2 linked regions of the Schizosaccharomyces pombe genome follow. The protein of the gene in region 2 interacts with the protein of the main gene of each other region in a pairwise test. Each region holds a gene or a part of one and is shown on either strand. Other genes may lie near its edges. The genes, in order: pmt3 and stn1.

Region 1 (6,166 bases), 1.3 Mb from region 2:
AAAAAATGTTTTTGCAGAGCTGAATAAAAGCCGTAAAAAGAACAATAAGGATTCTTTAGATCAAGGGCAGAATGTAAAAAGGCCACGGTCAGCTGTTGAAGACATTATTGCTCAAGAAACAATGAGAGAGAAAAGACGCAATATAAAGCTCTAACCGGAGAATTGACGTTTTTAAAAGGCTTCAAAAGTGAGAATTTATTTATTGGTTTATTATTTATAAAAAAAATACGCTTGTACTTGTACTTTTACTTTTAATGTAGCTTATTTAACCGTATATGTGTTATTTAGTAGCCTTTCTGCTAGCTTAGTCTACTTGATTTGAAGGTGCTGTAAAATACATGAAAGCTCCAAATTTCATATAATTTTGCTTTCACTTGATCTAAGTTAGAGATTTAATAACTTATATTTTACTATAGTACATATATATGAAAATGTTCGATACGTTAGTAATTGTAGCACAATTCCGTATACAACCTTGCCTGAACAAACATAATCAGTTAAGACATGGCTTCGGAATTTTCCGGTCAAATACAAGAATTGCTGTCTAGAATACCTCCTGTAACAAGGTATATTCTGCTTGGAACAGCAGCTACCACAATTTTAACTTTATGTCAACTTCTTTCACCTTCGATGCTAGTTCTGCATTATCCGTTAGTCGTTCGTCAGAAACAATGGTATCGTTTATTTACTAATTATCTCTATGCTGGAACTGGATTTGATTTTATCATGAACATTTATTTTTGTACGTAAATCCATTAAAACCTGTATTTAAATTCTAACGTTTTGTCAATAGTTTACCAATATAGCACATACCTGGAAAACTTTGTCTTTGCTAGGAATGCAAAAAAATACATTATTTATTTAGTTAAAGTTGCTCTTTTAATTGATGTAAGGAGTATTTGAAGGTCTAAAGTATGCTTATTAACGTTTCTCTTTAGGCATTTTCCTTGATCTCAGGACTTGGAAGCGCGTTAAATCAATCGCTTGCCGCTGCCATTGCTTATAATTGGTCTTTGTTTAACTCATTTTCCAAAATCCAGTTTTTGTTTGGTTTTCATGTTCAAGGCAAATATTTGCCATATGTTCTTCTTGGCTTCAGCTTTCTAACCGGAGGTCTTCCATCTCTAGTAGTATTGGGTTTTGGTATTATCTCTGCAATGATCGTCAATTTTTTTGATTCGATTCACACTCCTGTTGTCCATCGCTCCAACTCTCCCAAATTGAATTCCCAAAAGGTGTCTGGAACATTCATTGGGAAGGGCAAAAAGTTAGGCACTTAATTTTTCATATTGATGATTTCATTAAGTGCGTTAAAAACAGTCGATACGTGTTCGAAATTTTTATCAATATTTCTTACTCCATTCATCACCTGTCGAGTCTGGTAGGCAAACTTTCACAATTTTCAATAATGCATCAATGAGTTCCACTATTTCAAATTTTTGATGAATAATATTTCACTTCTTTCCTGTACGAACACGACGGCTTTCTCATTCATATGCTGATAGCTAAAAATCCGAACTACACTAATTTGTTGAAATGTAGCCCTTTATTATAATGTTCTTATCTAAATTTCTTTTTTTATCCTTCACCAATAGACTAAAGTAAACATATGTACAAATTGACGTGCGAGGCATATGCACTTAGAAATCTTTTATTTTACGTTCATAAAGTAAAGTGGGCCTATACCACGTAGAGTACACAGATCAACTACCAGCCAGTGTACGGTGAAGCAGGCATGGAGAATTCAAAATGGGGAGGTTTTCTTAAGAAAGCAATGTCAAATGTTGAAACCAGTATTGACAAAGTCTTAGACGGTAATCAGATTGAGGAGATGTCACGAGGAAATGCAAAATCAAAAGATGAGATTATCGCAAAGCTTCTTACGGAAGGACAGGCGCTTTCAAAAAATGAGTTAAAGTTAAACAATACAATTAAGCAACTTAAAAAGAGTTTAAGTGAAGCTGAAACAAAGTTGAAGCGCCTAGACGAGAAACAAGCGACTCCGGAATTACAGGTATCTGACTCAAAGGAGATGGAGGAACAATTGGAACTACAAAAGTCTCAATTTGAAAAGAGGATATCAATTTTAGAGAAAGAAAAGGAGGATCTTCAAAGAAAAATGGAAGAACTTACAGTAGAAAGCATGGAGGTTGTTCGTCTTACGCGTCAAGTAGAGACCCTCTCAACCCAGTATTCGATTCAAAGGAGTCAATGGGTACGTGAAGATGAAAAGAAGAAAAAGGAAATTCAAGACCTGAAAGAACTTTATGAGAAATCCGAGCATGGTGCAAAGAATTGGGAAAGGGAACGTGAGACTTTCCAGAATCAAGTATCTCAAATGTCTAAACAGTTAGATTCATTGGAGAAACTTTGTGAAAGGAAAGATGAAGAAATAAGGAGTTCTCAGGCTTTTAATATGACATTGAGAGAGGAAAATGATACTTTAGCAGCCCAAAATTTGGACTTACAAACACAACTAGACCGATTACAAAGGGAGCTTGACACTAATATAAGAAGTAATGTTAAATCTAAGCCTAAAAAAATTGTCACTACAGGAGGAATTCCTGAAAATAATGATTATACGGTTGGAAAGGTAGATACGCTTAAAGTCACCAAAGAAGATGAAGATCCCACTACCCCTACTAATGCTATTCCGATACCTTCATCTATGAGCAAGCGTGATGAAGCTTTAGAAAATGACAAAGATAATTATTTTGACGACCTACATCCCTTAAATATTTCAACAAGTCCGCAACCATCTCCTTTGAGTTTTTCAGAAATCCCACAAAGCGATACACGGAATGCTTTAGAAAACTTTTTGGATAATCTTCCTTCCCCTTCAGAAGAGAGATCCAGAATTTCCAGATCAGCATCAGAAGCGCGAAAGTTGGGTATAAACGCTCAGTCAAGGTATGCTTCCATAAGCAGTGCAGTTCTTTCTCCTCCTTCGGAAGCTTCAAGAAAATTTAGCCTATACGAATCTGAGGCAATATCACCAACATCAGGGACACCCAGCAATCTTGAAAAAGGTGCCGGGAATGTTCCTGATGTTAGTCTTTTGGAGCAACTTGCTACCACAATTCGCCGATTAGAAGCCGAACTACAAACAACTAAGCAGCAAGTAGCGCAACTTATAATCCAAAGAGATCAGGCCCGTCAAGAAATTGTTGATGCCTATGTAAATAATGATGCAAATGAAGATTCAAAAAAGCAAGTGGAAGAGCTTAGACTACAATTACAGAACCTCGAAAAAGAGCATGCCAGTACGTTGGTAACACTTAAGCAGAAAAGTGACAAAGTGTTTGAATTAGAGCTGGACATTAAGGATATGCGTGAACTTTATGTCAGTCAAATTGATATATTGGCAGGCAGGCAATAACGTTTGGAAAAACTTGTATTAAAAAAAAATAATTTTAATATAAATCATTTTATTTAATTTCATTGATTCTTTCAAATATTTTGAGCGACGATGCTGGAGATGATAAACGTATTGGCAAAATCAAAATATTAGTTTTGAGTATATGAAACAGCTTAAAAATACTTGTACTCTAAAGGCATAGATGGGTGCAACCACCTAACTGTTCTAAGACAGCCTCAATTTGATCGCCATCTTCCATATCAAGCTAAATGTATAGTTAGTACCGGCTTTTGTTGTAAAAGTTTAAAACTTACCTCAGCAGGTGTTTGATCTGGACGAATACGTTCCCCATCAACAAGGAAACGTAAGCTGTTCATACTTTTTCCTTGTCGTGCACAATAAATCTTCATTAACTTGCTGAACTCAGTGGTCTTTTTAATTTTGAAAAATACTTCGTTGTTATCCTACATCAAGTTAGCTTCACGATTCGTGCATTAAAGACTTTTGAAAGCAAAAGATGACAGGAATAGCATGAAAGTCTCTTGCTGTAGCACACACCTGTCCGACAACTTTCAAATTGATATGCTCTGTGGATGGTTTGACATCTTGTTGCGAAGTGTCACCTGTGGTAGGAGTGATAGCACTTTTGTCAGCATCAGAAATGTTTGCTGATGGTGATTCAGACATTTTTTCTCAGATACTATATAAAATCGAATATACAGGTACAGGGGGGTACAATCAAATTCTCATAGATCAGGAATGACTGTTGTGATTGTTTGAAGCAAGAATAGCGTAATGTGGTATATAATATAACGTGTATAAATCTACTCCACTATTTTGTTTAGTTGTGTCTTAAAGCTACGTTAATTATTTGCTTACTACGTTTACTCTGCTTATAACAATGGTTAGAAAACCGTAAACTGCAAATCTACAAGAATTTTTGAAACGCTAGCAAATATTTGTCGAACTATAAAAATAAAGCCGTCGATAAATAAGCCGGTTTATATCGTTTTGTTATAAAAGACAATTTTGTTGATTTCATCGGTGTTAAACCTTTACTTGAATCTTTTTAATATTTTCGAATTAATTGGCATAATAATCAAGCATTAATATTCTTATTTATTTACCTTAAAAATGTCTTATATGAATAATACTTTTCAATCTAATTATGATTATTCTAAGGACAAAAACTTTATGTCAACAGACATTGGACCTTCGATGCGTGAAATGAAGGCACAGAAGCGTCGTAGTCGTCCTATGGATAATCCAGATGCTGATAATCCCTATATTCCTAAATTCATTTCAACCGCTCCTTGGTATGCTCAGGATGATGATGCGGTCGAAAGATTAGCCCATCAAAGGATAGGCAAGAAAGAGACACCAAGTGGTGGTCGTTCCTCCATTGAAGGCTCTTGGTACGTTAGAGGGAAAAAATTAGGACCTGCTGCTACAAAATATCGAAAGGGTGCTTGTGAGAATTGTGGAGCCATGTCCCATAAAGTTAAAGATTGCATGGAGCGACCAAGAAAGCGGGGTGCTCGTTGGACAGGAGAAGATATTCAAGCAGACGAAGTTATTCAAGATATCAACGTTTCATGGGATGCGAAACGTGATCGTTGGAATGGCTATGATGCCACGGATTATAAGAAAGTTATTGAGAGATATGAAAAATTGGACGAATTACAAAATAAGGGGGAAGAGAATAGGGATGCGTCAGAAAATTCTGCTGTTAAAGCATCAAGAAATTCCACCGTTTCTGGTTCCGAAGATTCTGCATCCATAACTACACCAAGCCTTAGAATGCGAGAAGATGTGGTGGCGTATTTGCGAGCTGACAATAAAAACTTACAATATGAACCCAAATCCAGATCAATGAGAGACGAAACTGGATATCATATGGTGGATGATTCTTCTGGAGGTGCTGGCTTTGTCAAAGCATCTGGTGGTGAAAAAGAAGACTTCGAAAAACTACAAATGTTTGCCTGGGAAGCTGAGCGTTCTGGAACTCGTGTCCATGTTGTAGCCAATCCAACAGCTGGTGAGCTGGAATTTCGAAAAAACAAGGCATCTCGTATGACTACCCAGAAACATATTGATCAAAGCATATTAGATCGTTATGGGGATGGTACCTCTAAAGTGAAAGACAAAAAAGCAAAAAATAACGAAAAAGAAGTTCCGGATTTAGCTATTCTTGATAAATCTGAAAAAAGCAAAGGAGAGTCGAACACAGATGAAGAATCCGAAAACTTAGTTATTGTTGAAGGGGACTTATGATTTTATTTATATATCTAATAATATCTAATAATGACTGAATGTACTGCAATGACATTTTTCTAAATATAACACTAATTAACTTGTTATTATTTCTTTAAATTTTATCTTACTTCGTTGAACAAGAGACTTCTGATATTGTCTAGCGATGGTGCAATTGTACTTTCCAGATTTGTTTAACGAAGTTTTAAGAAACTTTGTTATGTATACATTCTGTCAGAAGGGTAAACATCGTTAAAATATTCTTGCCTATGGATAGAGGAACTTTTGTACTGAACACCTTCAATTCTCCATTATCAAATTTTTATTTAATGTCTTCGAAACTATCGAAAAAGAAATTAAAATCTTTGGAATACCGCTCCAAAAAATTTGATAAAAAGTCGCAAAGTTTGGAAGAGCATGAGAAGAAAGTACAGCAAAAGAATGAGGAATTAGAAAAGAAAGCCGCTGACAAAATATCGAGAGATGAACTACCAGAAAAGCAACTAGCACAATCAAATGATAAAGATAAACATAGCGTTTCAAATCCCCCTCATA
Region 2 (4,353 bases):
CGATGAATACACACATTTCCAATTTTTTTTGAAGTTCGGATTCAAAAACCGTTACAATTTAATAAATGTCGAGTACATTGATTTATACAGTAATCAAATATTCATTAATTCTTATTCAGATCATAAAGAGAATTTCATCCGAGAACGAATGGCACACTATGGGTTTCATCACACAATATCATAATAGAAACAGAAACAATAAGTATTAAACCAGCGAATGTAAGAAGATTCAGAAATAAATCTTTTTAATTACTAACCAAGCGCCTCCGTTCTAACCAGCGAGCCCATGCTAAATCCAAGGGTTAGTATACAATAAATGTACAGAAGTTTAAGGATGTAGAAAAGGTTAAGAATGAAAGACTAATAGAACAGTAATGGAAACAAAAATGTTTAAAAAATAACGAAAGATGTAAATGTAGACCAACAAGCAGACCATTTAAAAACAGTTTATAGGAAGAAAAAGCTATAATTCAAGCTGATGGAATAAGAAAATCAGTTGTGCTCAATCTTTCTCCAAAAACGGATTTTTTTGCTCTATTATTCAATTATTTGCAAAACTTATTTCCTCTTTGAGAAACTAAAAGCAAATAAAAAAAATCCACCATCTATTCCTATTCCTTTAATTTATACTAACTTACCATGAAATGCGAATTTACGACCAAGAAACTTTCCTAACAACGGGAACACCACCAAACATAAAACTCGTTCCAATTGTTCAATGGAATCCTTTAAATCATCATCCAATTCACTAGAATAGGTATCATCTTCTCCATCTGAAATTGGGTCAATTTCAAGATCTAAAACTTCGGCCATGTTGTTTTCACTAAACTGACTTTAGAATAGTTCGATTGAACTAGCAACGTTGTATTTAGAATTTAATTAAAAAATTTTTCTATTGTCAGCAATCGAAACCCCTTTAACGTATGCTTAAAAGTGTATTATTACCAAGTATGGCTCTGGTGAAGGTCACATAGTGGCTGTTACATTTATACATAGGACATTTGTCGAAACAACATTGATCATGTGAGACTAAATTTTGAAAACAGGGAGTATATTCAGCAAAAATAATTCATATTCACTGATGATAAGAGGTTATTTGTTTCTATATGCTTTACCTATGAGTTTGGGTACATTGTTTGTATTCTTGGTATTGCTAGTTTATTCAATTTCAGATGAAAGCTGAGCAGAACAGCCGCTGTCATGCTATTCGCGGATACCCTTTGTTTCACAACAAATATTTCGACCTAAGAAAAGCCTTTATTTTTGCCATCCTTACCTCTAAGTGCTTTGTTTGGTAACACTTTATTGAAGAATTGATAGACCGTTATAAACATAAAACAAAAAAAAGTTGGGAGTTTTGGTTTTTTTTAGTTACTCTTTTAAAGAATGCATTTTTCCACGAGGTTTCTTGATCGAACACAGTAGGAGCAATATAATTTATCTTCAAAACAGTTGAATGTGAAACATCAATAACTGAAGAAGTTTGGTTTTCATACCTCCTTGCGTATTCCCTATTCATAAATAAATCATATAATTTAGAATTATCCGGTATATGAAGATAGGAATTTGTGTGCTAGAATTTAGCAAGATATAAACAATGCACATTGGTGTGACATTTACAAAATTGGTTGACGAATTCTGTACTCTCACTTTTTGTCAGTAGACGTCTTTTTTAGGATCTTCTCTCAAATTCAATTATAACTAAGTTGCGTGAAACCAGACTAAATTCAATTGATAAAGTTGTTTAGTCAATTAGCATTTTTTATAACAGCATCAATGCATGTCCTAATAAAGAGTTAAGATATTTTTTTTCCTTTTAATCTTACTGTAGAAACTTAAATAGTTATTATCCTCGTAGAATTGCTCTATCCTTATTACGCGCACTCAGGAAGATGAAGACTTCACAAACACCAAATCATTGCTTAATTTTCGAAAACGCTGCGATTGTTGTTGATAGTTGACCAGAAGCATACTAATTTTTATTTACTTATATACTTGAAAAATTGCAAATCATATGGTTGAAAGTCTTTAAGGGAATGACCTAATAAATGCTAGAAAATGAAAATCAACTAACGCATCAATTTCCTACATTATCAAGATGGAACCCCATGTTTATTAGCGATGTTCATAAAATTTCATTTCATCCACATTTACAGCGTAAGTGCTCTTTCTGTAAAATAAATATCACAAAGTGATTCTTACAAATATCTAGGATACATTGGCTTCTGGATGGGATTTCCCATAAGATGGATTCAAATTGTTGGCTATATTGCGGCAATTGATATTTATGAAGGAAAGCATGTTTTAACAGGTAACGAATATCAGCATTGAGGCAATAAGCAGTTCCACTACTGCATACACGACTCATTTAGTTGTTGAATCTAGTTAAGGTTTTTTATAAAATCAACTTTTGAGAAGCATCTGCCTCTATAGCTCCCTTTTTTCTATTTCCTAACTGAATTTAGTGGATGATTGTAGCGGGATGGTATTGCGTGTCGTGTTTATTATTCAAGATGATTTTTCAATGTCAAAAAGAGCAATATCTATGTCTCCTGGAAATGTTGTCTGTGTCTTTGGAAAGATAAATTCTTTCCGATCTGAGGTTGAATTAATTGCTCAGTCGTTTGAAGAACTTCGTGATCCAAATGATGAATGGAAGGCATGGCAGAAAAGGATGAGATACAAAAAAAATTTAACCAAAATCTCTAAAAATCACCATTCAATCATTCGCACACCCAAGAAATCCTATTTTCCTAAAGATCATGCGAAGGAGTTACTTAAGTGCATAAGGCAGATGTGTAAATTAAATGTGCAAGCTGGATTTACAATTGAAGAACTCATTATTTATTTAAAAGCAAAAGAGTTGCACCTCCCACTTGTTCATATATTCAACGTCGAAAATGAAATAGTAGAGAACTGTGATGGAAATCACATACTGGCGCTTAATTTCTCTTTGCAAACATTACTACAACATGGGCGGATTGTGAGAAAGTCAAATTCAGTTTATATGCTTGTCACTTCAAAAGACATAATACGCTTTGTGATTCCTCTGATGGCAAGTGGTCTTCTCGAAGCCCACAAGGTTCAAAGCATAGTGAGAGATTCCAACCCAATGTTTATCACACTCCCTCTTTCTGCGATTGCTAAACACATTTGTCAATTTTTGCTTCGTACAAAAGGGAAATGGAGGCAAGCAAAGAAATATACCTGGGTGCGAGATAATCAGTTTGTATAAAATGAATTTCCAGTTTCCTTTAATATCACATTGACGCGGAGATTTAATTGCCTAAAACTAAGTTCATTGTTCTATATGCAATATTACAATCCTCTATTAATTTAAGAATATGTTTACGGAAACAGATCAATAAGTACACATGGGTATATAAGCGGTTAATCTGATGATGAAATAGATTTACATGTATAAAGCTTTCTTTTTTACTTTTGAATTGATCAGTAGCATCATTGCATCAAATTTAATTAATGGTCAGCACCAATTCATCAGCTGCTTATACAATCTAGGGTAAAGAAATATAACTAAGCATGATAATAAGTTACTCTTAATTTCCTGAAGTTCAAACTTGAAATGCTTTGCATCGCTTACTGGCCTAAGCATCGTACTTCGATTATTATAGTTGGAAGTCATGAGGATAAAACTATGTCTTTTCTGATCATGTCGTAAAATCTAGCTGCTCTTCATACTGAAATTGGAATATTAGATAAGATTTAACTACTAAAAAAAAAGATTAAGGCATCCGATTGCCAATTGTATAGATTGCAATGATGCTCCTTACTGCTTTGAAGTTGAGTAAAAACGAGATAAGCCCATAAACTTATGCAATTTATTTTAGTTGTTTTTAACTACTAAATTGACACTTCATATTGGTGGTTGTTATTTTTTTTTAGGTATCGAAGAATTGCTTATGGTCGTAGAGTTATGTCAATCTATTAATTGATCCAGTATTCTCGCACTGGGAGATCACACATCGAATAAAATTTATTTCGTTTCAATAAGCAACAATAAATATAATAATTGGTTTCTTTAAGCTCGTATTATGCCGCAAAATCTATATTTCAAAATTTAATCCTCATAATAAGCTACGCATAAATTATACTAAATTTTAACCAGGCAAAGGTTGTTACGCGTGGCGCAATGGTAGCGCATCTCATTCCTATACGACCTGATCGTTGTTGGGGAGTGAATTACGAGAAGGTTGCGGGTTCGAGTCCCGTCGTGTAAGATTGTTTTTATGAAGGAAGCTTCATTATAACCTCCTTAAAAAATTTAAATTTCAATATCATACTACACACAATGATATTGTGGTATTTTGTTTTGCTCATGAAATATTACCAAAA

What was found.
Region 1: the proteins of stn1 (region 2) and pmt3 interact in a two-hybrid assay, tested with the Schizosaccharomyces pombe proteins (3 studies listed by BioGRID).

What each region holds. Positions count from the first base shown.
Region 1 is NC_003423.3:2,504,773-2,510,938, reverse strand, and holds pmt3 (small ubiquitin-like modifier pmt3), read right to left. Parts: upstream 4,095-6,166; 5' UTR 4,046-4,094; coding exon 3,917-4,045; exon of another isoform or gene 3,823-3,916; coding exon 3,673-3,822; exon of another isoform or gene 3,624-3,672; coding exon 3,549-3,623; 3' UTR 3,380-3,548; coding exon of another isoform or gene 1,736-3,379; 3' UTR 1,281-1,735; coding exon of another isoform or gene 939-1,280; 3' UTR 889-938; coding exon of another isoform or gene 794-888; intron 776-793; 3' UTR 743-775; downstream 1-742. Other genes in the region: kin17 (KIN17-like protein), read left to right, coding at 1-154; Der1 family protein, read left to right, coding at 505-742, 794-888, 939-1,280; tmf1 (TATA element modulatory factor-like protein), read left to right, coding at 1,736-3,379; splicing factor Slu7, read left to right, coding at 4,493-5,632; SPOM_SPBC365.04C (RNA-binding and ribosome biogenesis protein), read left to right, coding at 5,941-6,166.
Region 2 is NC_003423.3:1,160,778-1,165,130, reverse strand, and holds stn1 (telomere cap complex subunit Stn1), read left to right. Parts: upstream 1-2,048; coding exon 2,049-2,157; exon of another isoform or gene 2,158-2,212; coding exon 2,213-2,311; exon of another isoform or gene 2,312-2,441; intron 2,442-2,465; coding exon 2,466-3,235; 3' UTR 3,236-3,646; downstream 3,647-4,353. Other genes in the region: protein mim2, read right to left, coding at 246-289, 639-813.